Oryzias latipes: one gene and its partners. The protein of the gene in region 3 interacts with the protein of the main gene of each other region in a pairwise test. Links are inferred from orthologs where the notes say so. Each region holds a gene or a part of one and is shown on either strand. Other genes may lie near its edges. The genes, in order: F-BAR domain only protein 1, htt, protein-tyrosine kinase 6, khdrbs2 and exoc5.

What was found.
Region 1: the proteins of protein-tyrosine kinase 6 (region 3) and F-BAR domain only protein 1 interact in binary tests that used the Homo sapiens proteins (3 or more experiments, as listed by UniProt). The two-hybrid records come from large-scale screens. The link is inferred for Oryzias latipes from reciprocal best matches to the Homo sapiens genes PTK6 and FCHO1.
Region 2: the proteins of protein-tyrosine kinase 6 (region 3) and htt interact in binary tests that used the Homo sapiens proteins (3 or more experiments, as listed by UniProt). The link is inferred for Oryzias latipes from reciprocal best matches to the Homo sapiens genes PTK6 and HTT.
Region 4: the proteins of protein-tyrosine kinase 6 (region 3) and khdrbs2 interact in binary tests that used the Homo sapiens proteins (3 or more experiments, as listed by UniProt). The two-hybrid records come from large-scale screens. The link is inferred for Oryzias latipes from reciprocal best matches to the Homo sapiens genes PTK6 and KHDRBS2.
Region 5: the proteins of protein-tyrosine kinase 6 (region 3) and exoc5 interact in binary tests that used the Homo sapiens proteins (3 or more experiments, as listed by UniProt). The two-hybrid records come from large-scale screens. The link is inferred for Oryzias latipes from reciprocal best matches to the Homo sapiens genes PTK6 and EXOC5.

What each region holds. Positions count from the first base shown.
Region 1 is NC_019862.2:14,991,565-14,997,835, forward strand, and holds part of F-BAR domain only protein 1, read right to left. Parts: intron 2,202-6,271; coding exon 2,127-2,201; intron 1,462-2,126; coding exon 1,320-1,461; intron 1,057-1,319; coding exon 904-1,056; intron 113-903; coding exon 8-112; intron 1-7. UniProt on the Homo sapiens protein: Functions in an early step of clathrin-mediated endocytosis. Has both a membrane binding/bending activity and the ability to recruit proteins essential to the formation of functional clathrin-coated pits.
Region 2 is NC_019859.2:35,171,652-35,177,922, forward strand, and holds part of htt (huntingtin), read right to left. Parts: intron 5,200-6,271; coding exon 5,058-5,199; intron 4,953-5,057; coding exon 4,773-4,952; intron 4,684-4,772; coding exon 4,507-4,683; intron 4,389-4,506; coding exon 4,312-4,388; intron 3,700-4,311; coding exon 3,564-3,699; intron 3,486-3,563; coding exon 3,345-3,485; intron 3,243-3,344; coding exon 3,035-3,242; intron 2,934-3,034; coding exon 2,788-2,933; intron 2,563-2,787; coding exon 2,385-2,562; intron 434-2,384; coding exon 335-433; intron 244-334; coding exon 59-243; intron 1-58.
Region 3 is NC_019865.2:29,675,666-29,682,666, forward strand, and holds the start of protein-tyrosine kinase 6, read right to left. Parts: upstream 4,123-7,001; 5' UTR 3,859-4,122; coding exon 3,488-3,858; intron 1-3,487. UniProt on the Homo sapiens protein: Non-receptor tyrosine-protein kinase implicated in the regulation of a variety of signaling pathways that control the differentiation and maintenance of normal epithelia, as well as tumor growth.
Region 4 is NC_019873.2:24,519,581-24,525,851, forward strand, and holds part of khdrbs2 (KH domain-containing, RNA-binding, signal transduction-associated protein 2), read right to left. Parts: intron 4,947-6,271; coding exon 4,830-4,946; intron 1-4,829. UniProt on the Homo sapiens protein: RNA-binding protein that plays a role in the regulation of alternative splicing and influences mRNA splice site selection and exon inclusion. Binds both poly(A) and poly(U) homopolymers. Phosphorylation by PTK6 inhibits its RNA-binding ability.
Region 5 is NC_019880.2:12,939,975-12,945,878, forward strand, and holds part of exoc5 (exocyst complex component 5), read right to left. Parts: intron 5,502-5,904; coding exon 5,354-5,501; intron 5,271-5,353; coding exon 5,076-5,270; intron 3,732-5,075; coding exon 3,667-3,731; intron 3,462-3,666; coding exon 3,433-3,461; intron 3,340-3,432; coding exon 3,230-3,339; intron 3,096-3,229; coding exon 3,051-3,095; intron 2,963-3,050; coding exon 2,822-2,962; intron 2,743-2,821; coding exon 2,660-2,742; intron 2,568-2,659; coding exon 2,358-2,567; intron 2,098-2,357; coding exon 1,950-2,097; intron 1,869-1,949; coding exon 1,760-1,868; intron 1,506-1,759; coding exon 1,385-1,505; intron 1,259-1,384; coding exon 1,172-1,258; intron 1,068-1,171; coding exon 959-1,067; intron 853-958; coding exon 637-852; intron 279-636; coding exon 90-278; 3' UTR 1-89. UniProt on the Homo sapiens protein: Component of the exocyst complex involved in the docking of exocytic vesicles with fusion sites on the plasma membrane.

The DNA of each region.
Region 1 (6,271 bases), on a different chromosome or scaffold from region 3:
ACCTGACCTGAGCGGACTCGCTCATTTTCTGCTCAAATTCTCCTCCCACACGGTTGTATTTCTCGATACACAATGCAAACGATTCAGCCGCTTTCTTTGACTTCAGCTCCGCCTAGTGAGAGGAGAAGAGATACGTTAATAATGCCCTTTAAGGTCCTCTCATCCAGTCACCTGAAATAAAATTAAAGACCACACTAACAGAATAAACAGATCTGATTTATCTGTAGACATGCAGCACACAGAATGAATTTTGATATAGAGCCATTACTAGAGATGTCACAACTGTCTGTTGAAAACTGAAATGTACGTTACACCATTAAACTGAATTATGTGGAAAGTGACTGAAGCAGTTCTCCAAATAGCCACTAGGGGGTCTTGTTACAGTCAATCTTTGATGAATTTTTTCATCTCTATTTGTAGATTTTATTTCTACGAGAACACTATAAGAGATTATCTAAAGTTCAATTTTTTCTTAATTTTGACAGTAATTCTGCACATTCTGAAGGTACACTCTTAATTGACAAGTGGCAGTCAAATCCAAAGCTTTGAATGACCTCCTGGCCGTGATTTAACATCCGTCAGGCCTGTTTGTTCCACATATTTGACCTTTTCCGGAAGGTCGGGGTTAAGTGACCTTGTGGCCTGGCGAGAAGGAGTCAACCACAAAGCAAAAAACTGTTGGAGCCCATTGCAAATACTCTACGAATCTGTATGAATCTGTATCTCTGTGAATCTGGTCAATGGTCTAGACACAGGCAGAATTATGAGCTAATAACACAATGGATGAGTGTGGGTAAGTAGCTTTTGCCGACGTTTTGAAAACAAAACTTGTGTGATTTTCTGTCAAGAGAATCAATGTTGTACAGAATTCACACTAAAGAAATCTTCAAAGTGGCATCCAACCTTCTCCAGTTCTTTCTGTGGTGCCCCCTCCTTTCTGAGCCGGTCCAACTCCAAACATTTGCCGTGGTAACCCTCTTTTGACTTCTGAAGGTGACTGCTCTGAACCTGCAGAGCCTGCACTGCCTCCACGGTCCCCACCATCTTCTCTTTCGTCTGGATGGTAAGCGCACGCACATTCAGAATAGGGGACTTGACGCCACACAAATCGTCACTGTGCTTTTATACTTGGAGGGCAAATGTAAAAATGACTTTAAGAGCGGGGTCAGTAATTGGATTTTCTGAGAAACAGATTAGATCAGGATGGGAAAGGCTTGATGCAAAGCAAGAGAGGAGAAAGTCTACAGCGGGATACACTGACAACAGACACTTTTTGGTTAAGACAGCCGGAGTGGATGGGTTTTTCTCAAGAATTATACCTTTCGGTGTATTTTGACCTGCTCCTCTCCGTATTTGTTTATTTCCCGGATGAGATCGTTCATCTTTTTCATGAGTTCGAGGTGGCAGAGAGCCACTTTGTCGGAGGACACCCTGAATACATCCCACATGGGTGCAAACGTCCTGAAAAACATTGTCAAATAAAAGACAAAAGTTCAAACCAAATAGTTTTAAGTTTAAGAAAAAATAACAAAAATATTTTGCAGACCTCCTCTGTTTGGACTTTTTTGTCTATCATTCAAATGACATACACTTATAAAAAAGGACGCAATGTTACACTTTCTCAGGATGCAATGTTATGTAGCAAAACAAAAATACAGCACTTATGTCAGAGGGGACAGTTATATATTCAACAACACCTCTGATGAATATAATGGGTTAAATAGAATATCTTACTAATAAAAGTAAATGATTTTTTTAGGACATTAGGACATTTAAAATGGATTAGTGCTTGCAAACGCATGTAGATTAAAAAGCACAGAGCAAGGTTTTCTAATTTGCAGGAATCAAGTGATCTAATTTCTCACGTCCTGCTTTTGTGTTCCTACGTCAGTTTGCTTCACACAACTGATGCAACATGTGACTCGACGCAAATAGGCTAAATAGAAGGCAATATGTTCTTCTAATCATATGTATGAACATTTGGTATTGCAGATGGTACTCATACATATCTCATACACAGCCATCTGAACATTACATCAATAATTATAAAACAACACCACCTCCTGGGCAATAGTGAACAGAGAGAGAGGAAGCATGAGAAAAGTGAAGGCTCTTCTGTCACTCACCCCTGTGGACTCCCATTGCTCGCCATTTTTGCCAGTTTGCTCATTGATTTCGAGTAAGTCTCCTCAATGGCTGCCCTGTAAAACACACACCCACATACAAACAAACATCAACACAAGCAGAACTATCAGGGGAGTCACTTTGAGCCAGGAGGAAATCAAGGATGCTAAAAATCCAGACAGGAAGGCAATAAATGGAAAAGATAGGTTTGGGTACATTGTGCAAAAAGCTGCATTTAAATGATAAACAGATCCAGTTTTTGTAAACCCTATCATGAAACTTAACACAACCATCTGTAGACCCGAAGGAAATAGAACGGAGAAGCACTGATCCAACCTGCCTGAGGGTAAAAAAAACAAACAAACTTGCAACTTTCTTGTATTTAGTTCACTTTGTATTTTTAGAGGTCAACAGGGATGCCAAAATTCACAGTTAAAAACCAAACTGTATGTTACGCCAATGAACAAAATCGTAAGGGAATGTGAATATATTTTCTTTAGTTGTAACTCAAAATTCAGTGACGTTAACCAACACAAGAGGATGAACCTTTTAGCTACAATGACATGTTTACAAAGTAAGCAGGGAGACACTTTCATTCACTATATTGTGCAGTTAAAACAAAAAACGCAATGGGCAAAAACCTTTCTTCACCAAAAAAAAAAAAAAAAACAGAGCTACTCATAACGAAGCATTTCTGATCCGTTTATAAACAGAAGAGTAAAAACTGAGAAATATGCTTCTAGTTTATTAAAAATGGTCTTTTTTATTTAGATTTTAACATTTTGTCCTGTGGTGCAATATAAATACCCAAACCATGTTTTAGTCAAACTAATTATTAAAAAAAAATTGCCTTTTCATCTTCAGGGAGGTCAAATAAGTCTCTTTGCCGCATAGACCCACAGATAAGGATTTATAAAAAGAAATATTAACTCCAGCAAGTAATATGACATTGTGTGTATGTGTCCATCCTGCAGAATACCAATATTTTAGCCCGCAGCTTTTTTCATTTCCTGATCCCGGATCTGTTTTCTGCTCTAGTGAATTTTATCCACCATGAGGAAAGGGCACAAGTGTCCTCCATCAATGCAACTTTAAAGTTGCATTGATGGAGGACACTCACACACTTCACTGCTCTGTTAAGTCCTTAATACAACACAGAATGACTTTAGGAGACGCTTCATCTTGTAATTGCTTTTGAAGAAACAAATGTTTTGTCAAATATAGACTAAATTAAAAAAATAACTAATGTTAGAATTATTTTGAACTTGTGCAGTCATGTTTTCTTGGTATTTTTGTCATTTTTTTTGTCTTTCAGCAGCTTCCTATAGAGGTTTTTGCAGCGAATCATCCACCTCCATCCAACTCTGTCCACTGGATCCTCCTGACTCACAACAACCACCCTCATGTCCTCCTTCACTACATCCTGAACCTCCTTTTTGGTCTTCCTCTTGGTCTCTTAAGCCTCCTTTTCCCCGCAGAGTCAGTGTCCCTACTCTCAACATGTCCAAATGTCGAAAGCATCTAACATTATCTGTTCCTCTGATGTTTTCACTCCTGATTCTCACTCCCAAAGAGAACCTTACCATCTTCAGCTCTGCTACCTCCAGCTCGAATATTTCTAACTATACTTGATTTTGTGACAAAGATCTGAAGTTTGTAAAGAAAACAGAATTAAATGAACAGGACAAAAATAAACTAGTTTATTAGTTTAAGAATAATCCAATATTGTGTGTTGGTAAAAGGCTAAATTAAAGTCTGCTGATCTCAATAAACAGCAAGATCTTCAGGTACAGTATGTGAGGGGCACCTAATTTTCTAAAAGAGCAAGTTTATTGTCTCCATAGGATGTTTGTGGAAGACTATCACAGCATGAACTGACGGATTCAGAAAACTCTAAAGCAGGTTGTGTACATGTAAAGGAAAATTCAAATCAGTCTTCTTATAATAATAAAATAATAATGGATTTATCTGCGCTTTTCAAGACACCCAAAGTGCTTACATTGTGTTCATAATTCATTCACTCCTCATTCTTACTTGGTGATGGTAGCAACGGTTGTAGCCACAGCTGCCCTGGGGCAGACTGACAGAGGCGTGGCTGCTAGTTCGCGCCTACGGCCCCTCTGACCATCACCGGGATCATTCATGCGCATTCACACACCAGTGGAGCCACACTGGAGGCAAGGAGGGTGAAGTGTCTTGCCCAAGGACACAACGACATTTTGGCTGGTGGGAGCGGGGATCGAACCGCTGACCCTTCGATCATTGGACGACCCGCTCAACCACCTGAGCCACTGTCGCCCCCAAATCAAATTATCACAGGACTGAGTGTGCAGCTATATGAAATGATCAAAAAAAGTTACTGCAAGTTTCAGCTATCATCTCAGTAAATATGTAAAATTTGAAAAACAGGCTTTTCCAGGTTATTTTGTTTTATACAATTATTTTGCCTATTTGCATTAAAAAAATCTTTCTGCAGGTTAATTCTTCACACACTGAGGCTAAGCATCTCTGGCAATTTCATAAATCAACTCACAACTTAATTAACAATTTATTATATATTTAGTATGAATCAAATTTTATTTGGTTACAGAGAACACTTTTTCCATTACTCTTGATGAAAACTGAAAAAAAGTGAATCTTGTATCTATTAAAAGATGAATTCTTATTAAAAAAAACTGAAAGTAGTTGTTTTGCAAAATAATAAAATACAAGAATTATTTTAAAAGAAAATCAGTTGATGAACCTGATGAATCAATACTGACTGATCTACCTTTGATAAAAACTATTCAGTGTTTGTACCCTGATATTACACGTTTTTGTTGAGAAGCTGCAGCTGTTAGGAGCCAAAACGACTTGATTGTTCAACAAAGAAAAGTAACAGACACATCAGGAGCCAATCCAATTTGATGAAATCCAAGAGTTACTGTCCCTGACAATCTCAGACTACACAGGGATGCTTATATTTGAACTGACCAATACCTTGTATTGTGTGAATTTTTAAAGATATTCATTAAAATAATTGAGCAGGGTCAGAGGAGGACAACATATTTGCATGAATTCTTATATGCAGGATCTAGTTTTTCTTTTTTCATTTTAGAAAATTAAACAGACTTGAGTACTCATTGCTCATTGCTTGTATTCAGTTTCCTTTTGTCTCTGTCAAGGGCAAACATCAAACTTTGACATTTTTAGGACTCAATAGTATTCTTGGAAATGTTACAGTTAGAAGAAAGTGGATCTGAGGAAACCTATGTCTGCAATTTCTAGGAAAGCTTAACATTGTTTCTGCCTTAAATAATAAGCATTTCACTTTAAACAAGTTAGATCTTATGGTCTAAAAACTAAAGAACTTTTGGTTTAAAAATAGACATTCTTCTTAGATCAGCTAAAGCGAAAATTAAATCCAATTTTTTAATGTAATTATTGAATTTATTTGCACTGGTTTTAACAAGAAAAGACTTCTTCCCTTCAGCTTTCCGTCCTTCTGGCCTGTATGGTCACCATGGGGAGCGGGATCTCATTGACTCCTTATCAATTTTCAAATCCAGACTCAAAACCTGTTTAAATTTGCTTTCCCAATTTACAATTTTCATCTTCTGCTTTCTTATTTTATCAATTATTTCAACTTATTTATTGTTTTTAAAATTTCTTGATTTTATTGTGTTTTACTTTTGAGTGAGCCAGTTTAGCTCGTGCTGGTTTGCGGCGCCTTCCGTCCGTGAAACCCAGGTTCGACTCCGGGCTGCTCCCTCTTCCCTTCTCTACCTCTGCCGGTTCCAAGCCCGGTTTGAGAAGGTTGCGTCAGGAAGGGCATCCGGCGTAAAACATTGCCAAATTTACCATGCGACTTGTTCGCTGTGGCGACCCCTGATGGGAGAAGCCGAAAGTGGAAGGATTGTGTTTTACTTTTGAATCTGTACAGTGTCCTTGAGTGTTTTGAAAGGGGCTTTTAAATAAAATGCATTACTATTATTATAATTACCGGTGTAAATCTTGTTGTGATGGAAATGTTCAAACTCAGGAAGCTACAACACAGGAATGACACAGTTTGTGTCCTCACTACAAGCACAGCAGAGACGAGTCAGAGGTCACATGAGACTAATTTGTCATCTAAAACAAGAACTTGTTTACAGAAAAGAAATTCAAA
Region 2 (6,271 bases), on a different chromosome or scaffold from region 3:
TCCTCTATCGACACTCAAAGGAGCGCGCTCCGCTGCGGCGCTCGGCCTAAACACTGACCAGCGGAGGCACTCGGGTGTAGCTGTTGACCAGCGGCAGCCGGGACAGACTGATGATGATGTTGCGCAACATCGGGGTAACAAAAGCAGGGAACGCAGAGTTCTTGGGGTGACCCAGGCAGAGGACGCTCTGCAGGCCTTCCACCAGCTCCGCCATTATCTCACATGCCCGCCACTCACACGGGTCTGCAAAGAAAAACAAAACAAAAAAAAAACGCTTGGACTCAACAGAAACAACCACATCACGTGAAGTTATTTTCTAAAATCCACATCTCACTTTTGGCACGCCCCGAATGCACATCATCTGCATCAGCGTCTTTGTCCCCCGCCTGTCTTTTCTCTGCATGCAGCAGGCGGTCACCTGGACTCACGGCCACTGCAGAGCAAAGAACACCTTTCAATTCATTTGGAAGACTCCAGATCCATTCCAGGTCAAGGTACCAATAAAGGCACCCGAGTATACCCGTGTACACCAGTGGGGCTGCGACTTCTACTCAGGTGCAACTTATATGTGATTTAATTTTTTTATAAACAGCAGGCTTGTGTTTTCAGTATTTTCTCACTGTCAGCCACTAGAGGGCACTGCAGATGTGTGTTCCAGCATTTGCCACCAGTGTTGCCAGATTGGGCGGGTTTCCGCCCAATTGGGCTTCTTTTGGTTATGTTGGGCGGGTAAAATTGGCATTGGGCGGGTCTATAAAATTTGGGCTGCTTTTCAAAATATTTAGCGGTTTTATTGTCATTATTATTATTTTTCTTATTATTTAAAATATTAAGTAAAAGTATACTAATTAATATATAGCGTAAAAAAAGCATTGTGAATATATGAAACATTACAGTAATCCCCCTGTTTAGTTGGTGGGCGGGTTTTACGATGAGTTTGGGCTGGAAACTGTCGCTCAGATCTGGCAACACTGTTTGCCACCGACAGCAATGCAGAAGAAGAAGCGCCGTCCTCGGCAGTGTTGTTCCAAAGTGACACAGATGAGGAGGAATTTAACGGATTTAGAGACTTAAAGTGATATCAAAAGTTTAGAACTAACTTTTTAACATGTTCTCTATGCAAAGGTGCTCTGAATTAATGCTTATTTGTAGCGCTTGGTAACTTAAACTATAGAAAGGGAACAGTAAACATCGTCTGATTTTTTACAACAAAATATATTACAGTAAAAAAGAAAATGGAATAAATGCGCCTCAACCAGTAAGGTTCTAAAAGTAGGATTGAGTAAATAAAGTTGTTCATTTTCAACATTAATGTAGCTTCTCCAGTACTTTTAAACGGTTCAGGAGCCTGAATGGTGCTTAAAAAGTAAAGAGGGAAAAAAAACACTCATTCTTTGCAGAAACACTAAAGTGATGATGATGAGGCAGCACGAACGGATGAAGGAGACGCTTTAATGTGCCTAAGATGCTTTATTTCCATGACTCTGGCTCTGCAGCTGCAGCTCAGCTTTCTCAAACGTGGAAGTTAACTATGTTCATCGCCATGATGAGCCTTTTTCAGAGCGTTGTACACATCACTCTGACCCATCAGGTCTCTGAACTAGAATCTATTGCTGGGAGGTTCTGTAGAACCGCTTTGCTGTCAGCATTTTGGCTCCGTGCATCAGCCGCTGTGCAGCTGCAGAGTTTCACTCGTTCTCATCTGAGCCGCTATGAAGAGCCGCAATCCTTGTTTTTTTATGTTACTGGCAGCAACATGAGACAGAGTTTCAGTTTGGTACCATCCTAAGTAAAAACTAAGTAGTTCATGTCTCATAACAACGAAACAAGCTGCCTCTGGCTGCAGGCTTCCTGTTGTTCTAATGTGGTGTAGAGCTGCTCAAAGATGCTCCGTGTTCTCTGCTGCCAACTAGTGGTTGGAGGTTGAAGTGGAAAACGAGAGTCAGACGCTGAAGGACGCTCAGAAATAATTCAATAAATGTCGTCCTGACAGCATTTGGAATCAATACAAGTATCGCCAAATGAACTATCGCGATGTATCGCCAAAATGATTTTTCCGAACACCCTTCCTAAATACGGTTACGGTAGTGAAGCGTGCATAATATGTTCAGTCCTATATTGTCAGTTATTATGATTTGACTTTCAAGATGAAATGTCCATTCTTGGTCTTGTACTTTGCTAAATATATATCTCCTAATAGTGTTACTTATACATATTTTTATTGTTTATTATACATGTTTTGGCGTCTGAAAAATACGATGACTAATAGGCAGGACCTAAAAATTCAGACATAACTGGAGCCTTTGGGTAAACATCTGTTGGTCTACAGTGATTCCCTTCATTTGTGATTGGGGCGGAGTTAGCAGCTGTCATTGGTGGCATACCTGCAACAATAATGAGGCGTAGGCAGTAGACGAGGGAGCAGGTTTGGGTGGTGTACTCCGGGGTGGAGAGCTTGTTCCAGACACAGGGCTGCTGCAGGGACAGACACAGACAGGACAGGGCCCACTGCAGGTCCACACTCAGGGGCAGCTGGTCGTGGAGCAGGCGCCACGCCACAACCTGGGCGCCAGATTCCACACGGAGGAGAGAAAAATGGGGAAAAGGCTTTCAAATGTGGAGCAAGAGTGTCCAACACTTTGACCTCCCGTATCACATATTTGGGAGCTAATGTGAAGAAACTCATGAGGAAGAGAAGATGCTGAAAAACTAGCGACCGCTCGGCTGTGGGGTGACAAAACAACATGCTCAGCGTGGAGGTGCATCTCAGACATGCCGTCCTTTTACCTCTGTGGCAGTGCAGGTGAAGGTGGTGATGAGGTGCTCCTTGTCAGAAGGAATTTGCAGTGATGAAGGCAGCTGGCCCACTTTCAGTAAATACTGGGACAGCGCTCTGCACAGCGCCAAAACCCTGGAGTAGAAACCTGGTTTGTCTGCGACAGTGACAGACCAAAAAAAAACAAAAAAACAGGTCCTGAAGTCAAGAAACCAGCAAAAAAACAGACCGAACTCACACTTCCCCTTTAAGACTCACCGTACAGATCAGCCAGCTGCTCCCAGTAAGGCTGGGGTTCAGGTGGAGGCAGGAAGGACTGGTGTGGAACAGGAAGTGACCCGGTGACCTCTGCCAGCTGATCTAGTGTGACCTGCAAGGTCGTCTCCAACAAAAGTGGGCCCTGGCCTCGTGCCAACCTCTGAACCCCCACGCTCACGGATGGACACAACAGGCCGAGGTTGAAATCCTGAGAAGAAGCAGTTTCACATCTCAACAGCCAAGCTGCACCCTAAAAACTGTGCCATGAAAACCCAAACTGCCGTTGAGCCCTTTCGATTTCTGTTCGTACCTTGCGGCTCATGGTGTTTAACAGCTCGGCAGAAGGTAGTTTAGTGAGGAGCTCTGTCGTCTCGGACAGGGAAACATCTCCACGAAGACCACACTGGGACTTCACCAGAGCCACGTACCATTCCTGAACGCAAGACAAATACTGGAGATACAACCTTCCTATTCGTCTTTTCCTTCAAAAGAAACAAAAAAAAAAAAAAAAAAAAAAAAATCAACCCACCTTATCAGCGACAACCTGCTCAGGGGAAGGGGGTGGATTTCCATCCAATGGGTGTGATGTCACTGGAGGGGTGGGGCTCCTGCTGTTGGCAACGGTTGCTCTGAACCTGTCCAGCAGGGAGTAGAACCTCTGATGCCTGTAGAGGACCACAGAGAGGGTAACAGAAAGAAAATCTGTATTTGAAATGCGTAAATATTTACTGATAGGCTGTCTAACACACACACACACTTATGTCTGTATGAAAAACAATGACAAACTAATTTCCAATATGGCTGCACAGATGGAGTCCTAAATTAGTGCAAGAGTCTGTCGACACGGGACAGACACGGGAACAAACACGGGACAGACACGGGAACAAACACGGAAGAGATACGGGGCAGACACGGGGCAGACAAGGGACAGACACGGGACAGACACGGGACGAACACGGGACGAACACGGGACAGACACGGGACAGACACGGGACGAACACGGGACAGACACGGGACAGACACGGGACAAACACAACACAGACACTGGACAAACACGGGACAAACCCGGCACAGAAACTGGACAAACACGGGACAAACACGGGACGGACACTGGGCCAACACGGGACAAACACGGCACAGACACGGGTCAGATTGTAGAAAGAATAGTGGGGACCCGACCCCCAAATGCACCCAGAAACTCTTTTTACTTCTTAAGCGCCACAGAAACCTAAGATTGCAGTTCAAATGTAAAAATGGAGACAAAAGAGAAGGAAAACCTTTGAGCCAGTCCACTGGTCTGGAGGTATTCCTGGATCCTGTCCAGTTCCTCCACAGGTAGCTGGGCTATACTGTTCTATCGGGTGGAAAAGAAAAAGCAGGTTGAAAGACAAACACGTCATAAATGCATTTGTTCCTCAGACTGAACGTTTTCCCCGAAGCTTCAGTAAAGAAAAAAATGATACGTTTTCTACCTGGAGAGTCTCAGCCAGCAGCATCTCCACTCTGCGACACGCCAGTGTGTCCACCATGCGAGCCAGAACCCTGAAAGGTGTATCCAGCAGTTTGTCCACGTACAGCATCAGCAGAGATCCAGACTGACTGAGGTGGATCCCCTCCAAACACTGCAGAGTCTTCTTCAACGTGGTGGGCTGCAGAAGGAGAGCAACCGCAAGAAGAAAAGTCATCTGGGACGGAAAATAAGAGATTGATGTAAACCTAAAGGTTAGGATCATCTTACAGCAGTGAGGTTGTCACAGCGGGACTGGATGGCCTGGATGAAGAGGCCGCTGGCGGCTGAGTTGCGGTGGACAGCGCTGATGAAATCCTGAACTGGAGGCTCATGGGAGAGGGCGATGAGGTCACGCACGTGATTGACAATCAGCCAAGTCAGATGCTCCGAGTCATGAAGGTTCTGGCACTGAGCGTAGAAGCATAACATCAAGAGAATTTTCCTTGTTTCCAACATTCGAACATCACCGTCACACGTTATTCAGACGCTCTGTGTGCAGTCAGGCCTCCTCACCACGTAGTCACAGAAGAGGATTAAGGCTCCACTGCGTACGATCTCTCTGTTCACCACGGCTAACCGCGACTCGCAGCTTTCCTCTTCGCCCTCTCCAGAGGAGTGGGAGCTCAGTAGCTTGGTGGAGGAGAGGCTGTGGCGTCTGAGGAGGAGAAGAAGAAAAGCCTTTGATGTTTGGAGACGACATTTCAAAAAACCCTCCCCTTTAATGCTTCTGCTGTATATTTGGGAGCAGTAATCCAACACATGCGGTCTGCAGAAGACCAATATTTAATGAGAATATTGCTGGTGGGAGGGAATTGGTTATAACCAGATGTTACAACATTAGATGATTGGTATAAGACTACACATGACATTTATGTTATGGAAAGTCTGACATTTGCAATAAAGGGGCATACAGCTAAAGGCTAGAAATGGTGGGCAAAATGGGTCAAATATATTGGACCTCTTAGACCAGATCCTACTTTAATTTCAGTAAAATACTTCTTTACTACAGGATAACAGATAAGAATGCAAGTTTGATTTTGTCTTGGAGGATGAGTAAGATTGACAGCCGTTCTGTCCTTTGTTCCTAAAAAAAAAAAGGGGGGGAAGAGTACAAAATGATGAACACGCATTCTGGATTACTGACTGAACATATTCATGATGTAAAATTATGTGTAACCTAGAAACAATGTGATAGTGGTGTGAATGTTGATACTCCTGTCAAAAAATAGAATATAAATAAATAAAATAAAATTGGGAACTCTGGAAAGAACTCCTATATGGGGAACAGCTCCCAGAACTAAAAAAAAGAAAACCTCTTAATTCTCTTTGCGGCAGAAGATCGGTCTTCTAATCTTTCCGCACAACTGAATGAAACAGGAAAAAACTGAGGAGCTCACATATCAGAGCAAAGACGTGTTTAAACACCTCATAATGATGTTTTACCCATCTTTTCTCTCCCGGACTGCAAGGAAGGACCAGATTGTTTTCACGATTCTTCTTTCTTTGCCTTTGAGCAAAACATGTGACCCCTGCCACATCCTCAAAAACTCACCAACATTTGTACACATCTCATATTTAATATATTTTCATTTGATCTTTATTTATCCAGGCAAAACAGACAACAACAAAAAAAAACTTATTTTGAACTTTGGCCTGGCAAAAGGCAAGGCCTTTTGAGAAAGAGAAATGAAAGGAGACGCACAGAAAAGCATAAAAATCAGGATGAG
Region 3 (7,001 bases):
TAACAAATAGTCAGCTTTTTGTAAAAAAATTTAAATAAAATAAAAACATCTAAATGGAAAAATAACAAGAAGAAAGTACTAACAACTGAGTGAATATTGATTTATTTTGTAAGTGACACTGGTATAAGTGGGGTAATGGCCTTCAGTGTGTGCATTATCAGAAATGAACGCACCTCGCAGAAGCAACCATTCTTCGCTTCATGTCTTACGTTTTAGACTTCCATGGCGTGTTAATTTCTAATAACGCACATTTTGTCGGCCATTAACCCTACCTTAAGCCCCATACTGCCAATGAATGATGCAATATAATTTCCTCCTTTTATTCAGTAAATCCAACCTAGACTTCTGTAAAAAAGTCTAGAGAGTGTATTCATAAAAATCTTAAAATGTCAATATCTTTTGGCAGCTACATAGACTGACCTTCAGACCTAAAGGCAATAAAGTTAAAATACCATAACAATAAAGTATGATGAGAAGGAAGCAATGATTTATAAGCCTGTTCCTGGTATCAGTGCAGTTTATTACAAGTCAGGTACTTACTGGTATCACAAAAAGCAAAAGCTTTTTCTTGCTTTGAGAAATGATCAAAGTCATAAGGAAATGTTTGATTTTTTTAATATTTGCTGGGAAAGTGGTCAACGTTTTGGAAACAACAAACGTACTTTTTTCATTTTCACATTCTGACACATCAAGCTTTCCACACAAGAAGCTTCTTAACCTGCAGACTGCATTAATGACTCCTCTGCTGTGAATACAGTTACGGGCTACTTTATTAGGCACACCTGTCCAACTGCTCGTTAACGTAAATTTCTAACCAGCCAATCACATGGCAGCAAAACACAAGGCATTGAGCCTTGTAGACAGGTGAAGAATGATGATTGAAGTGACTTTGAACGTGGCATGGTTGTTGGTGCCAACTGCTAATCTAATAGGATTTTCACCCACAACCATCTCTAGGGTTTACAGATAATGGTCCAGAAAAGAGAAAATATCCAGCGAGCAGCAGTTCTGTGGGCAGAAATGCCTTGTTGATGACAGAGGTCAGAGGAGAATGGCCAGACTGGTTCCAGCTGATAGAAAGACAAGAGGAACTCAAAGAACCACTGGTTCCAACCGAGGTCAACAGAAGAGCATTCATACAGCAGCAGAAGACTACCCTGGGTGCCCGTTTGTCAGCTAAGAACAGGAAACTGAGGCTACAATTTACACAGACTCACCAAAACTGGACAATAGAAGATTTGAAAAACATTGTCTGATCTGATGAGTCTCCATTTCTGCTGCAACATTCTAATGGTAGGGTCAGAATTTGGCGTCAACAACATGAAAGCATGGATCCATCCTGGCTTCTATGGACCTATGATGCCAAGGATTAACCTATTCAACCTATTCAAGGGTTTTTTATTGCCATTGTCAGTGAACAAAACAGTTTCACAGACTAGGAATTTGCTGCGGTGCCAATGTGCCACATACAATACTTACGAATAAAAATGAACAAAACAACAGTAAGCAAAATAAAAAACAACACAAAGGTCAGAACAATAAATATAAATAAATAGTGCAAACAGTGTAAACAGAGGATGAAGAAGGTGCAGGTACGTATAAGTGAAAAGTTTAAGGGGGGAGGGATTAAAAAGTGTTTCATGAGTCTGACTGCCGAGGGAAAGAAACTGTTTTTATGTCGTGTGAAGACAAAAGGGGTCCAATCCCTAGCAAGGTGGACCTGATGAAGCGACTGGTAATATGTATAATATAATATAATATATGGTAATAACAAGCAGTGCTGCTAGCTAGGCTTCTGTAGCCTAGTTGCTCCAGAATAAACCTGATGTTTTTCCTCAGATTTTTCTCTGTAGACTTTTCCTTTCTGTTGTCTTTAGCATCCATAAATGTATCTGTCTCAGTTGCACCCACTCCCGTCTGTCTTCCTGCAGAGATCAGTGTCTTTCTTTGTCTCTCCTTCCTGTCCTCTCCTAAATATTCCACACCTGTTTCTCTTCATCCAATTTCTGACTCCACTGAATTCTGTTGGGGCAAAGGGGTTGCTGTAGTCTATCCCAGCCACAGTTGGGCGAAGGTGAAGTACACCCTGAACAGGTCGTCTGTTGCAGGGCCGCAGACAAACACACATTAACATGAAGTAGGGCCGTAGCAATTCATGTTATCACCAACTTGATTCATATTAATAATTTGTGGTTGACGATAAGATTCATAATCAAAATTGGTTCATTTTGAATGATCCGATTCACTAACTAAAAATTGATCCAAAACATATTTATGGAAAACTTCAACCAGTGTGACTCAGAGAGAAATACCTGCTACTGAACAGAACAGGTGACGTTTTCTTGGATTTCTTCAATGTCATTAAGTGTAAAGGAAACATGTGTCCAAACAAACAAGTTAATAAGAATGAATGTCAAATCCATTCACATGTTAGTTTCCTAAAGTTCAGTCCACTGTTATTTTTCCACATCCAAAGAATCCAAAGGGAACATTCTTAGAACATTCTAGCACACTGGATGGTCACATGACTTTCTAAACTCAAATTGTTTCCACACATTGGACTGGAATGATGGACAGATCAGTTTTTGCTGTCATCACGTGTTGTCCACTGTGATGAACGTTTTAAGGTTGTAAAAAAATGTTGTGCTTACTGTTTTACTATTCCAATATTAATATAACTGATTTATTTAATTTTGAAAAATGTTATAATGGTATAAATCAATTTGATTAACAACTTGGTTCAGACAGATTGATCTGGTTGGATCGTAGAAACAGAAGTGGATTCATTGATTAATCGATGAATTGTTACACCCCCTACTATGAAGTATGTTAGTAGACTGTGGGAGAAAACCTGAGCGCCTGGTGAACACACACATGCACCAGGAGAACATGCAAACTTCACACAGAAAGGACCCAGCTGGGATTCAGACCAGGGCCTTCTTACTGTGAGGAAAGCGCTAACCACTACACCACCATGCAGTTCTGCAACCCCTTCCATGAACTGAGTCAAAAACAGTCAAATTTTGTTTTTGTTTTTCTGGATCTAAGGGTTTTTTTTTGTGTTTTTTCTGCATTTTTTTGTGCAGCTCCATCAGATGTTCTTGATTATGATGTGAGACTAAGTGATCTGAATTGAATACATTAATTCCGTTGTTATTTTTCATCCACTAATACTTTCTAGAATGTGATGCTGTTTTATGGACGCTCCTGTTCTGCTTTTGGGCAGGACTAGCTTTAACCATAGACGTTGTGACTGAGAGAAAAACTCTTCTGGATGTTAGTGTTCATCTGGAGTTGGATGTTTTTTTTTTTGTTGTTTTTTTTTTAATGTTTCATCAGAACCCTCCATCACTGAAAAAGCGCCTGGCTGTGACTGTGAGTGGTGAACGCGCAGAGCGGGAAGTGTTCGGTCAGAGCGCAAACAAGCTGCGGTTTCTGTGTGTTTAGCGAGGAGAAGGCGCGCGGATGACGCCCCGTGTGCACTCACGGCTGCACGTGCAGACTCTCCGTCTGCGTGAGGTAGTTGAATGGGACGATCCCGGTGTCCAGCACGCGCCCAGTCCTGTCGATCCTCTGCGCGGTCCACCAGTCTCCGCTGCGGTTCAGGACGTGGAACAGGTCCCCCTCCTCGAAGGACAGCTCCTGCTCATGCCGGGACTCGAATGACCACAGCGCCGTGTAGATGGCGCTCTCCGTGACCGCGCTTGGGGGGCTCTCCACTGTGGCATACCCGGAGGCTTGCTCTCCTGCCTCCTTAGTGCTTCCACCTTCTTGATGAGGGGCAGCCTCTTTGTCTTTAAAGATCCTGTCCCACAGCGAGCCCAGGCACGGGAAAGCGCGCCGCAGACACTCACCCATGGATCACAGCGGGGCCGCGCTCTTGCAAGTGTCTTACTCACTGCACCAGCCGGGCAGGTGGAGGTGATGGAGCGCCTTCGAAATGCTTCACAGAAACTGGAACTCTGTAACTTCCTTAATCCCTGCAGTAAAACCCCGCCTGCATGATCTGACACAGCACTCAAAAAGCTGCACTCAGAGGCAGACCGGGTCCTCCAGACCACTTCAGTCTCAATAAGTCCTTTATCTTTTTGCGTGGATTCATGCGAGTCTGTAATAATCCATTGAAAATAAAGGCATTGTAATCAGACACTTTAAAGGTTATTCCGTCTGATTCTGTTTATTCATGAGGCGCCAGTTCATAGTCAGGTTGTTTTCAAAGAGCTTTATCAGTTATAGTTGTTGTAAACCAGCATTTCAGTCCAGATCATTCCAGTAAATTCACATTATTTCACATAACAACAGTCTAAGATGAATGAAAAATGATTGTCCAACAGATTCCATTTAGGGATGTTCAGTTTATAAAGCACACCGGAGGGTAAGACGCACTGCAGATGTTTGAGAAAACAAAAGTATTTTTATATATCCTAAAAATTCTCATGACCATTGTATTCCCTCTTTACATGCTGTCCTGGGCAAGCTTCGTAACTGTGCCAGAGTCATTGACTATAAATATGAACAGCAGGACCCCTCATCCCTCCCATCCCAAACAGGAAGTCTCTGCTGGCTCCAAGAAGCCAAAATCCCACAGACTTCTGTAGAAAAATAAACAGCTGATACTCAGTCATTCTGTTGGTCAGAATAACTTTTCCTTAACATCTACATACTCCAATTTTTAGTGACGTTCTTTTATGGCAAGTTATTCAAGTTTCAAACTGACCAATCACATGCCTTAGTAAAAGCATGTGATGCTAAGGCAGGTTTGATAAAATCGATTAATTGATCGGAATTGCTCCAAGCTTAATAGATCAATAATCAATCCATAAAAGTAGAGATCAATCTTTTATGCCTTTCCTTTTCTGGTTACCTAACGCATAACATCAGTAAAGCCCAAGTCCACTAGCTTGATGCTAACGTAAAATGGAATTTTCCATAGGACAGCTAATGCTAACGCTCAGTCGACCTAAACATTGGTGACTAAATGAACAGCTTTACAGTGCTCATCATAAATGAGTAATCCCCACTACATTAGTCAGAAAACCTTTGGTGTCTTTTTTAGAATCAACATTTTCTGTGAAATACTAAACTATACACCTCCAAAGGTGGGCCATTGGTTACAAACAACATATGATCATTTGCACACACAAAAAAGTGATTTTCCAAACAAATTTATTCAAGCCCATGTTGCAAAACATGAGTTCACTACAGTCATAGTCTTAGGAGAAAAGCCAAACTTAAGACCACCAAATTCTAATTAACATGCATTCAACCACAGGCGAGTCTAATAATTAATTGAAGAGGTGTCCAGCACACAGGTGACTAGAAAAGGGCATTTCTTTAACAAAGAACAGCCCTTCCCATTTCACGCTGTCAGCAATTGCTTCCCATGGAAAAGAAATGTCACAAAATCTGAGACAGGAAATCAATTATTTGGACAAGAAAGGTGAGGACTACAAGAAGATCAGCAAAGCTTTACATATCAGTCAAAATAGCATAGCAAAAGTGATCCAAACATTGAATAAAGATGGAAGTGCAACTATCCTACAGAGACGTGGATGTATTCATTTAAAAAAGATCTGCAGCACCATCAGTAATCACCTCTCCATGTCTGGGTTTATGAGTTCATTCAGTCTCCCGCTGCAAAAGGATCTTTCTTCCGCTACTTCTGTGTCTCTGTGACCCACGTTAGTTCAGGAGAGAAAAAATAAAAACAAAAATCCAACTAGACAATCTTTTAACCCTCTTGCTATCTTAGATGATCCCACCCTTGCATTGACGTGTTATTCCTACAATGACAAAGGCGGATAAAGGGGATAAGATTCACAAATCATTGAAGAAAAAAGGTTCAGAGCACTGTCTAGTGGGTCTAGATGACCCATCTCAGAATGTTAAAGTGCCTAGGATAGCAAAAAGGTTAATAATTGTCTTTATGAAAAGATGAAATAAATCATAAGATTTAGGAGGCCCAAGCAAACATGCTCCGCTGCCGGTCATAGCGAGCTGCTGTAATGGGATCCGACGGGGGCGACCACAAGTTGACGACCTGTCTAGGCTGTATCCCTCCTTTGCCCAACAGTCGCCGGGACAGACTCCAGCAACTCTTCAGCGCCAGCAGGTTAAGAATATTGTTCCAGGCCGTCCACGTAAGCTAACTTCTCAACAGGAGCGTCTTCTGATGAGAAAAGTTAAAGAAGACCGCCATGCAACTTCACTGCAGCAAGCTAAAGCAGTAGAAAGTCATACTGGATTGACTGTTTCCTGTGACACCATACGGCGCACACTGCAGAGGAATGACATGCATGGTTATCGTCCATGAAGGAAGGCTTTCCTAAAGCCCATGCACAATAAAGCACGCCTAGAATTTGCTAGACCCCATGCTGAAAAAGATGAAGACTACTGGGGCTCAATACTCTGGAGTGATGAGACAAGAATCACCTTTTTGGAATTGATGGTTTTAAAACTGTATGGCGTCATAAAGGTGAGAATTTCAAAGGAAATGCATGGTTCCTACAGTGAAACATGGCGGTGACAGTGTCCTAATGTGGCCTGCATGAGTGATGCTGGTGTGGAAGGGGGGGCTGTATTTCATTGATGGTGTCATGAACTCAACAATGTACTGCTCTAGACAGAAGGACAAGATGCTGCCATCACCTCATACACTTGGTCGTTGAGCACTTCACCAACACGACAATGATCCAAAACACATTTCTAAAGCTACTGCTGCATTTCTGCAGAAAAACAGGGTGAAGGTGATCAAATGGCCAAGTATGTTTCCTGATCTGAACCCAATCCAACACCTGTGGAGAATTCTAAAGAACAAGTAGAGCATCACTTTCCATCCAGGATCCAGGATCTTCTTGAAGACTGGACAAAGATAAATGTTGCAATATGTCGCCAACTTGTTCATTCCATGCCTAGAAGACTTGGTGCTGTCCTCAAGTACAACTGAAGATTATGTGATCTAAGTTTGATCATTAACCTTAATTTCATGTTATGAAGTTTAA
Region 4 (6,271 bases), on a different chromosome or scaffold from region 3:
TGCACACAACGGTGCATTTAAAGTTAAACCCAAAACATTACTAACAAACTTCAATTTTCTTAAAAGCGATCCAGTGGTTTCATAAAAAAAAATGCAGAAATGTTTTTACGACTCTAGTAATGCTTTGTTTGACATGTCACGTTTGACAGGTCACGTTTAGAAAATCCGCAGAAAGCAAAACAAGTGCAATCACCTTTGACTCCCCTTAATCTGCCGAATCATGCCTGAGGCTTCATTCAGACTTGAAGCGCATAAAGCTCCTAAAGCCCGGGGCCACAGCCAACTGTGTTTTAAAATAAACACTTTACTGTTACATCGATTTATCCTCAGTAATCCGAATTATGTCTGAGGTTTGCATCGAACCTTAGGTGCTATTCCCAAGGACAGCTTGATGGTAGCTGCTAAGAAAAGTTGGAGAGCCATTCATGCGCTTTCATAAAGCAGATCGGTCCTTGTCCTTGCATCACAAAACTGTTTCCCTCCTCTGGGAGAGGTTGCTGTTAATTAAATAGTAGCAGCACCTCAGCACTCTTTACTTGCTCGGTCAGGTAGTTATAGATTAGCTCAAAACTTGCACCTCCATGTTTTCCTTGTAGTTGCACTTTGCTGCAGACTTTTTGCACATGCAAAGCTTCTTTGTAGCTTAGAACAGCAAAAGGTTTGTCTGTTCAGTGAACTGAAGCATTTTAGTCACACGCAGCTTAAGAGAATTTAGGAAAATGCAAAAGAAAAATAAATTTCCCTTATCTTCTTTGGTTTAATTAGGTTTAAACAAACATTACTTTGTTCCTGTGGCAAACTGGTGTTAAACACAACATGAGTTTTTATTATCTTTTTGGGATGTGGTTGTAATTTTTCAGAGACAGGCAGAGCGGGGTGCTAACAGGGTTGTGATTGTAGCCCAATTTTAGAGTAATAAAAAGTGTTTTCTAACATCCCAGGGGTAAACAGGTGTTTGCCATCATAGCTGGCATTTAGAAGACTTTTCTAATTGTTGTTTTTTAACTACACGCTAGCCTTTAATGAATCTTCATCACTAACGAGTGACAGTAATTAAAGTAGGGAGTGGAGTTTTAAAACATCAGTGGATGATGTTAATTTATGACAGCCAACTAATTAATAGTAATGTTTCTGATCTGAGGATAAGTCTGAGGATAAGAGCAGAACACAACAGGATTTATTGCATCCTCCTCCTATCTGTAGGTCAGGGCTGACATTGTTTTCAAATCACAAACACTTGCAAACATTTGCCCTGACACATCTGTGTCACTGAAGTGCTATTAAAAATGTACAACTGTGTGCCTCAGCATCTTAACCTGATTACTTCTGCACCAAGTGGGCCAAACAAAAGGCTGTTGGGCTGTTTTCCATATGAATTTTCCAAAGCTGAAATCTGAGCATCCTGCTAGATGGACGTAGCCTCTCGAGGATTTGAACCTGGCTCCAGAAACCTGAGTTGATGATGTGTTTTTGCTTGTAATTGAACTCTGGATGTGTCTTTTCGGTGCTGCTGCATTGCCAGCTGGCTCGAACAGCAGTAAACCTCTCACTCGTGACCTCTGGGTGTCAGTCTCATCACAAAACCTTCAGGCTAGTTCGGATGCTGCTCCAGATCAATAAAACAAACTGAAAACTCTAAGCCAAAACAGTATGTTGCTACTGCTGATAAAAACTGAGTGTCAATGTGTTAGCCTGAACACAAATTGATATGCAGGAGATGAATAAAGTCATAAAAACTGTGCTCTTATTTTAAAATGATCTGTTGAACAGAATTGAGTTATGTTTAAGTGCAGAAAAAAAAACAATAGGCTTTTTACTTTGAGTTGTCAAGAAATATACAATATATATAATAATATTAAACTGCATGATATTGTCTTTTTGCATAAATTGTTTTTTGTGGTAAGAAAATTATGAAGTATAAATGCAGTGATACACTGACAGGTTCACTCCTGACCACAAACAAAAGTAAATATATTGGTCACATTACATTTTTTTGCCCTTTGAAATTTTTGTAAACTTGATTTCAGTACTAATTTAATACTTGGTTTGCAATTGTATTACTTTCAATAAAAAGTAATAAATCAAAGGGGAACATTTTTAAGGATCATTGACTTTAGTTGAGGTTTCTTGTTTATTTTTTGTTTTATTTTGGTTGTGAAAAATTGTGTTTTGGGTTTTGCTTAAATAAAAATACTTAAATTATACTAGAAAATTTCATATGTTGTTTTATTAGAAGAGAATGGTTTGCTTTACAGCTAGAAAAGGTAATACATCCTCTTGTATTTTAGTTAAACTAAGCTGCACGCATTTCTACAGCACTCTGAAACTGCAGCAGTAAAGTTTGCATCATTAAGTCAAAGTGAAGTCAGTGTCAGTGTCATCCTGTTGTTTTGTTGCTAAAATAATATTTGGCAGTTAATGAATTTTTTTTATAAATTAATTCAATTTCTTGTATGAAATTTATCAAGCAATTATGAGTAGAGAATAACTGATTTGTATAGGGGAAAAAAGTAGCCAAACTTTAAGTACTGATGATACTTAACCCTACGATTCCATGTTTCTGTTGACTTTTGCTGACTTGAGGAAAAGCACAAATGATATATACATAAATAAATAATCTAAGTATTTGTGATTAGGTTGAAATATGATATGTTAAATGTACAAATGTAAGCGTGTGATTTTGGCCTTAAAGTAATTCAACTTTAAAAAAAACTTTGAAATTTCTTGAGCTTTTTTTTATTTTCATTATTTCAATTTAAACTTTTTTTATTTCTCAGGGACACAGCAGATTAAAAGCTTTCCATGCAATGAGCCTGAATTAGCTAAGTGGTTGTTTTTCATCTCCGGACAGATTTAAAAATTGTCTACCTAAAAAGCTAAAATACACCAATTAAAGACATATTTTAAAATCACAAAAAAAGTTATTTTAAAAATTAACACTCTTTTATGTTCACAAGTTGCAGGTTTTGTCCTAAATGCTTTCCAGTAAAATTGATGACCCATTTCTGAAGGTGCTGTATGGATAGAAAATAGTCAGATTTGTGATTGTCTGATCCTCGATTTGTAACTCCTACAATACATCTTGTACATCACGGTATACTTGAAAAAGTGGGAAAAATGTCAAGTTTCTACTAGATATTATTCACAATCTGAGTTCAAAGTGGCTAATTAGGAAAACTCTGATGACCTAGCATTTTAGCAGCATTTAAATGCATCATCTATGGACAAATCCGGAGGTGTGAAAAGAGTCTCACAGCCTGTCCTGCACCTGTAACTCCAATTGGTGTGTAAATATGGTTTTGTGTGCGTGTATCAGGCATTCAGTGCTTACTATTTAAAGATTTCTATGCATAGGAGCTGTGGTTAGTTTTAAGCGGAAATTTCAAGTTGTTTTCTATTTGTGTGCTTTTGATATTTGTTTGTATGTGAATACACAGTTACACACAAAATGTTTTGTATGAATTGAAAAACAAGTATTATGCACACACAAATCTAGTGAGACTATTTTTTCTACATAGCACAGCTGCATGAACAGTGTTAACTTCCATCTTATACACTTGCCTTATACAACGCTTACTCTGCATTGCTTGTGGTCAGGGTCAGAAAGTATCTTCCTTAAAATTATGTTTGAATTGTTTGGAAGCCGAACAACTGGAATATCAATGGCAGTGTAAAGAAAACAGGCAGAAGCATACAGTGCTAATCCACAATGAATGAGGTTTTCCTGCATACAAATCAAAGGGGAACATTTTTAAGGATCATTGACTTTAGTTGAGGTTTCTTGTTTATTTTTTGTTTTATTTTGGTTGTGAAAAATTGTGTTTTGGGTTTTGCTCCTCCCTCATATCACATTCACACCACGAGTTTTCATTCATCACATCTAGTTTTAGCTTGCTAATTACTGTCAGTGTTTTTAAAAAGCTCTTAGGATTTGGGATTTAATTAGGGATCCTCTTTTTTAAACCTGCCATTATTTTTGATTTAGTCAAGTTCCAATCCAGTTTGGTGTTTTAAATGATATTTTAGTTATTTAGTGATTTAACATTGTCCTCTTTTGTTTTATTTTGCCAACCACAGTTATGAAGGATGGCAAAGTTGGACAAAAATGATAAGCAGTAAGACAAGAAAAACGCCACAATTTTTGCTTTGCAGTTTAAATGACAGAAAATACATGAAAAAGATAACTTCAAATGTATCTGATAACCATACTTCCTTAGTCAACACTCACTTTAACCCCTCATTTCATTGTTGATTTTTTTCTCTAAAATAATCAATTACATCATTTTTAAAGCTGCAATAAATTCCCTCTATTATGTTATCATCTGCCTCTGCTTGACATATTGAAACATAGCTAAAGTTTCACTGAAGAGCTGGTAACTCTGCACTTCTTTTTCATGTCAAGATGTCCAAATCAGAGATTACAGTAATAATAGCAACGCAAATCAATATCGCTTCTCCAACAACTGTTATAGTCTTTGACTCAGAAAAGCTGTCTGTGCTCACTTTTTAGCTTCAGGGGATCCCAAGTCAGAGAGATAAATGACTCAGGCAGAGAGATCAATTACTTTGCATTCATAATTGACTATTACAGAAGATGCTATTAAACAAGACGAAAAAAAAACACACTACAGTTTTGCCTACATGTATTTGTCAAGTGGAAGCTATTAATTCTTGTGAACATTGCTGATCTCAGTCACTCCTCAGTGGTTTCGTGGAAATATTCCTCCGTGCTTTGGCGGAATCCTTTTATTTCTATGAAGACTTCTCTTGGAGGAACACATGAGAGTGCGAAGAAAAACATTTTTACAACACAAATCAATATATCTCACCTTTTCTTTATCCCTCATAGACCCTTTGCCAAGGATGGACATCTTCACTCCCGTCTCCTCTTGTAATCTTTTCATAGAATTTCCCCGTGGTCCCAGCAGCTTCCCCACAAAGTTAAACTATGACATAAAAGGGATTTGGGGAAGTTATTTGTACTGCCAGCGTTAAGGTAGAACACCAATCATATTTTGAAAAACAAATACTTCCAAATTTGTTAGCAGCATGCAGGAATTCAGACGTTCTGGGAAAAAGGTTAAACATAAAAGACACCTTCCATCTAATAGTCAGTTATTGAAAGAATAATCTCATGTTCCACTTGCTGCTCATCATGAGGTAAACCTGTAATGCAACCAGTAATAAATCAATATCATTGCACTTGTGTTTAGCACATTAAAGGTGAATGTTCTCATCTGCGTTTCAGAATGACACATGTGTCTCTTTCTAGCTCGGGCTGCACCCTTGACACCTGTGCATTCTATTGACATTTGGGATCATCTGATTGGATTCAAAAAGGGGGGAGGAAAAAGAAAGAGAGCATGGACCCATACTAATAACGCTGCTGAAACATCGCTGAGACGGTTCCAGAGGTCAGTGCTGAGATAAAGTCAGAAATAATGAGTTTCTTCCCAGTGGGAAATTAAGTAATACTATCCAGATGACAAACCATCAGATTCACGCCTCAGGGTTCTGACTATCATTTCTCTCTCACCGTGCACCAGCTAGTGTTCATATTGAGAAAAGTATCGCAGTGGGTTGATACTGGCAGCATACCCCCAAGATTAACAGTGATTAATCCAAACAGTAAAACACATAGCTATAGTCAAATGTGTCATTTTAAAGAAAATATGGAAGCACACAAAGAAAGTCTATAAATGTATTCTAGCTTACCAAAGCATGTTCAATAATTAGGGTCAGATCCTTCTATTGTGATTTTTTTTTTTTTTTTTTTTTTGCATGGTCCACCTTCAGAGCTGAACAGGTGGTCATCTGCCCACTACAGCACACTCAGCCCAGCCCTTAAATCACATTAACCTTTCCAGAAAGCTCCCACTCCCACTGAGCCTGAGCAGCTAATAACTAACTGCCAGCTGCGCCTGCCTGCTGCAATTCAACGCCTCAAAGTGCACGCTCATCTTATTTCATTAACATCACAAAAGAAATCTGAAACCAGGCCTAAACATTTGATGAAACAAACAAACAAAAAAAAAAAACGGACAAAAAATACCAAGCAAGGGCAAGGTCATCACTGTCCTTGACCGTCCTCTAACTGATGAAGGCACCTTTATATAGATGCCTTCTCACTAGAGCAGCTATGACAGGACTCTTGGAGCTGGCAGGGAGCTGGAGAGCAGATGGCTGCTGCAGCAGCTCAGGATTGGGAGCATCAGGAAGGCGCTCGCTGGGTGATAGAAGAAGAGTGGCCTGTTTTCATTAAGCTAATGAA
Region 5 (5,904 bases), on a different chromosome or scaffold from region 3:
TGACGCATCCAAAGGGCAATGGGGCATCTTAAAGGCGTATCCCTCATCAAATCACAGATCCGTCTGTGGAGTAGTGAGCTCTCCGGTCATTAACTGAAGTGTCGGCCCAGTCTGGCAGAACGGTAGTCCACTCGGAGCTGGACAAAAGCATGCAGGAGGTTCCGGTCCAGATTGGTGAGATGCTCACCTGAGCAAACTTGCTTCAGGTTGTCAGGAGCAACCACCAGGAGATTACAGAGGGCGTGGAGTGTGTCAAAGAGCTGAAGCACCAGAGGGACCTTGTGAACAGAAAGAAATAAAACGGCTTATCACTTCAGAAAGAGGCAGGGGAACAATGCTCTTATGACAAGAAACCTTGATAGGTAATTCATCCATTTATTATTAAGTATGATGTTCTCAATATGAATTATGGTTTCAACAAAAATTCATTGCTTCATTTAAAAAAGAAATTAACAATCAAAATGAAAACAATCAGGCATTCAGATCAATCTTACTTTTTTTTAATCAAGGAAGCAGCTGTGAAATCATCATACCAAAATGATGGTGAAAGTAATAATTAGGTATAATTATTAGTATAACAGAAAGAGTTTATGCAGTCAGTCACAAAAGACACATTGACCTTTTGTCACAGATTACCCTGAAATTCTTGGCGCATCTGCGGTATTCAGCCACGTCACAGATGGCCAGCATGCCGCCCATTGAGCTGTAGCTGAACTGCTGTAGATGCTCGTGAATGAGTCGATGAAACCGAACCCCCAACTCCGTCAGCACCGTGTCCACGTTTTTCCCATCCATGGACTTGCGCACGTGCTCCACCTGCCGACTGACGTATGCGCAGACCTTTGAGCAGGCCTGTCAGGGAAACGAGAAGAACTAGTTGGGAAAAAGTCTGGAAGTGATTTTTATGAATTGCATCCAATGCGTTGTTTGTTCTGCGTGCGAGCTAAGCATCTCTTACTGTGGTGTACTGGATCATGACATTGTTTTCATCCTCGGGCCGGAAATCTGTTTTTTTCTGCTCTGTTGCCAGGATGTGCTTCATTTGCCCCACCATACAGTTTAGTGTTCTGTGCATAACAAAAACATATATTATTGGTTTCTGTTAAAAAACAAAATAAAAAACAAAAAAGTTGATCAATGGCTTAAAAAATAAATAAATAAAAAGAATCACCTGTCAATTCCAGTGTCCAGTTTTACTTCCATCTGTTCGATCACTTCTTTCTTCTTCTGCAAGCACTCTGCCAGCTTTGGAGATGAACTGAAGACAGGTTTAGAAAATTTAATTCAAAGAACCCCCCCAAAAATAAATAAATAAATAAATAAGGTAATTTGAAATCTGAGTATGCATAACAAACAAAGATGATAATTCTTAACCACAACTGACCTTATAAGAGGCATCAGCTGGTCATTAAACTGCTTGTCAAACAAGTGGAAGATGGAGTTTGCCTGTTGAACAACATCCAGGAAGTACAGGTTGGCATTCTTGGCATCGGATGAGGGAATCGCTGAAAATTTAGGAAAAATGCAGCAAACGCAAACTTAAGCTATATTGATCATTAAATGTTAATGCTTATCGGCTAGTGAAAAAGAGATTCTAGCTCTAAAATGTTTCTAGCTCTTCATTATTGTGGGAGATCCTCAGGTTATGCTTTATTTAATGTCCCAACTTCCTGAATCTACTGCTTTGAAGCTCCTAATAGTGAGAAGAATGAGCCCTCAGAAAGCAGTTTAAGAGTACAATTTGGTTCATCAGAAGTACCTGAAAGGCCAATCTCCAGAGCGTAGTCGATGTGGTCCACACACAGATGTTCAACCAGCAGTAGGAAGATGGAGTAGGCATTTTTAGGCAGATCAGATGGATCTGAAAGCTGTAATAAAACAAAACAAAAAATCACCAAAGTCTGCGTTTATACATGTTCCTTCACGTTACAGAAGGAGAAGAGGCTCACCCTGTGACACCTCTCAAACGCGTGCCGAGTCTCCTGCAGCAGATTAACAACCAGCTCGGGGGACAGGAAGGTCTCTCCATGGGTGTCAAGGCTGGGGCCCAGTGGAAGGTTGGTGCGCTGTCTGATGCGCTCCTTGAGCTCCTGAATACTAAAGTAAAAACAAAAAAACGTTTAGCATTTTGATCTTTTTGTATGAAACCCTAACGTTTATTTGAGACCAAAAATGGCTCTTTAAATGATACCACATTTTCCTTGTTCTTGTTTTTTTTTTAAATTATATTATTAATTATATTATTCTTAGTCTTTTCTCCTGTCAGTTGTTATGGTAACGAACAAATTTCCCACGTATGGGATCAATAAAGTATTTCTGATTCTGAAATGCTTCATGACGTTTATGCTAAATCGTACCTGCCAGAGCCTATTGCACGTTTCTGGTGATTCTTTGAGTCATAGTATCGTTGCAGAATCATGGCACCTCGATTACGAAGGTATTCCCTTTCCATGTCAATGTAACTTTCCAAATAAGAGGAAAAGATGCTTTTTATCAGCTTGGAAAGGAACGTATGCTTGTCTGAACCAAGGTTGAACTCTGTTAGCTTGGTAGCCAATGCTGTGGTCCTGAAAGGTCAGAAAAGAAACAGATAAGAACAAAAAGTGTTAGAGTTATAGAGCATACAGGAAGTAAATTAGAAAAAGACAAGCAAAACCACCTGGTGTAAAGGTCATAGAGGTTTTTGAGGTACTGTTCTGCATCAGACTGTCGAGTTCCATCCAGTTTCTCTCTAACGTGCGCCTGTAAAATAAACAGCCAGCCAAAAATCAACAAATGTTTAAGTAATGGCACATCCAAACTCAATCACTGGAAAACATACCTGTAGTTTGTTTTCAAAGATATTCTGGATGAGTTTAGCCATGACTGTCTCTGGACTGCTGAAGACCTCGGCCACCTGCTTGTTGACCCTCTGGCAAAGCGCTGCGGTGTCTTCAAACACATCGTTCCTCGTGTAGGCACCCTGAGACAGGAACAACAACAAAAAATGGGTCAATTAAAGCAGCCAAGTCAAAGGCAGACTTTTTTCTTGCCAAACTTGAAGTACTCACTTCCTGACACTGCTTGATGTAGACGTCCACGCAGTGTGCATAACCCTATTTAGACAAACACAGGCGTTACCACCTTGATAGTCCAAGAAAATGACTATAACATTCAAAGTTGATGTTTTCAGACAGGCTATGACTCCAACACTCAGTCAACGTGTCTTCAGATGTCTTTTCCAGGTCACCTTGAAATGTAATAGAACTGCTGCAACCTCCCGCATACGACCAATCTCACCCCTGCGCTGGGCTGCAGTAAACTCCTGGATTAACTGCCTCTCCAGGTCGTGGTATTTGCCTGGGCAGGAATGAAAACAGAACCTTAAAATGTCGCAAACGCGTGTTACATCGTAGTAAAAATGGAGGACGATCGACCCGGTCAGAAACTTACTTGCAATTTTTGCTTTGACATCTGCAAATCTGTTACAGATAAAGTGCGCAATTAGAAACAATAGATATAAAAAAAACAGAAGGAAAGTTTCTTTGGGGGCATCTTAGTCAATAATACCATCTAATGCTTAATGTTTCTGTGGGGCTTACACTTTTCAGGAATAGACTAATACACCTCCTCCTTCTTGTTTGACAGCGCTCTTGTCTAAAGCTGCCTCCAGGATGCCTGACTCACCTGTCAAATGGCAGCTCCTGGGCAATGAGATGCAGCTTCTGAATTATATCAGCAGCTTCCTTAATCTGAAAGAGAGGGAACAAGTGTGTGTTTGAGAGGGAGCGAGGGAGATGCCAGCTGAGGGAGGAGGAGAGAGGGAGCACAACAAAGCCATTAGAGGTGGACATCCATTATCAAGTGGGCGGCCGCCGGCAGTGTCTCCACTTGGGGGATCATCATCTTAGAGCAGCCTTCCTCCACCTTCCTGTGTTTAACAGGGAGCTGATAACAGACAGGCTGCGCTCACCTGGGCATCAGCAGCAGCAACAGCAGCAGTCCTGACTTAGCAGCACATCCAAGTCTTTATTGGGATGGCTTTTTCCTGAATGGGCTGTAATCCCACAGGAGTCTGAATTGCCTTCAATAATCTGTCCGGCCAGGGATATCTGTCTAAAAAAAAGGGGGCCCTGCCGAGATACCCCTCCACCCCGCCCTCTCCACCTCTCCTGACATACATGCTGGCGAAAAAACCTCCAGACCCGCAAAAGGTCCGCTGTCCGCAACTCCTCTGTTCCTGCAGATGCCTGTCTCAGCTAACATCATTACTCTGCTCCCGTGAGGAGGATCCAGCCTTTCTGCTCGGCGAAGGTTTTCTAAGTATCTGTCCCCCAGCTAAGATTAGCTAAATCCCATGTAAGTAATGTAGCCGTCTCCCTGCAGTCAGGGTTTAGCAGCACTTGTCTCCACGCTGGCGGCCCAGCCCTCCCTTTCAGAAGGATTAGCAAAGCCATTCCCCTTCAGCTATTCACTTGCAGTTTTTCTCTTTCCTCCTCATATGGAGGTATGCTCAGGAAAAAGGAATCTGGCTTGATACATCTGCATGCATGGCTCAATCTCAAGCTCTCGTCTGTGGGATTGACCCTCAAACCTCCCTCTCTGCATCTGGTTGAGATGTTGCATCAAACACACATAAAACCCAAAAAAAACCCCAATGTGTCTACTTTGCAGAATCAAACTCTCTGGGGTCACTTGTTCTGAGAAAACATTGAATCATTTTTTCCATGACTAAAAAAATGTGTTGCAACAAACTTTCTGTGTGTTGCAAAGCTGACCAATCAAATTCTTGATCCCAGTCATCCCACTTTACATGCAATTAGGTTTGACATGAGCGTGTTGACATCCATGCTAGTCAGTCAGCCGGCTATTGTCAGACAGCAAATGACAGTTTATTAATCCAAATTAACTGAGGGATCCAACTAAAGGGATAAACTTTATAAATTTCCATGGATGGTTCAACTCATAATCCTGTTCAAACTCACCTACAGCAGTTTCCCAGCAGGGCCCCTCATCAGTGGTTTCACACCCACACATACCTCTTCATATATGACAGCAAAAAAAAAAAAAAAAAAGAAACTAGACGATAATCTCACCTTGTCTGGGTCATTGAAAACATCGCTACGCAGATCTCCATCCAAAAACTCGTTAAAGTAAGTCATGAGACGCTGAGCTTCCACGGCCCTCTGGCGAGGAGTATTCACCCCCTCCAGCTGGTCACCTAGGTGACAAACCTTGGTGGCAACGTAGCTTATGTGTTCATCGAGTTCTTGGAAATGCTGAAAGGCCACCTGACATGACACAAAACGAAGATCTAGCGGTTAACCAAAGAGAATAAAGTTTGTACGATGTTGTTTTCTTTCAGCAAACAGACCTGGTTACTCCTCTGGAGGTCTTGCACTTTGCGGGCAAAGTCCTTGGCCTCTCCATGACACTGATCCTCTAGCTTTTCCACCTTTCGCTGAATCTTCTCATCTAACTGCTTTAATTCTTCAATGTGGCTTTTAAATTCATCCAACAGCCTAAAGGAAGGAAGAGTAGGAAGAAAAATTAAAAATACTATAATTGGGTAAAAAAAAACACATCACAATTAAATAACAAAAACAAACAAAAAAACTGAAAAACATGCACGAATCCCCCTAATTCAAGAAGTAATTGGGTATCAGAAGGTAATACTTGGTGTATAGTTACAGTTTAGGGGTACAAAATAGTGTCAAATACTTAATTCATGGGTCCCTAGACTTAAGAAGCTCTAAAAAAAACTCTCAGCTTCGTCAGCTGCATTTTAAGTGCCATTAGGATTGCGGTGCAAATGTTCTAAGTCAGCACCACTTTTCAGAGAGTGGGAAACATCCTGAAACGATGAGTGTATAATCTTCTAATTCCTTCAGCACTAGCTACAGCTTAGACGTCTCCCATCCGCTC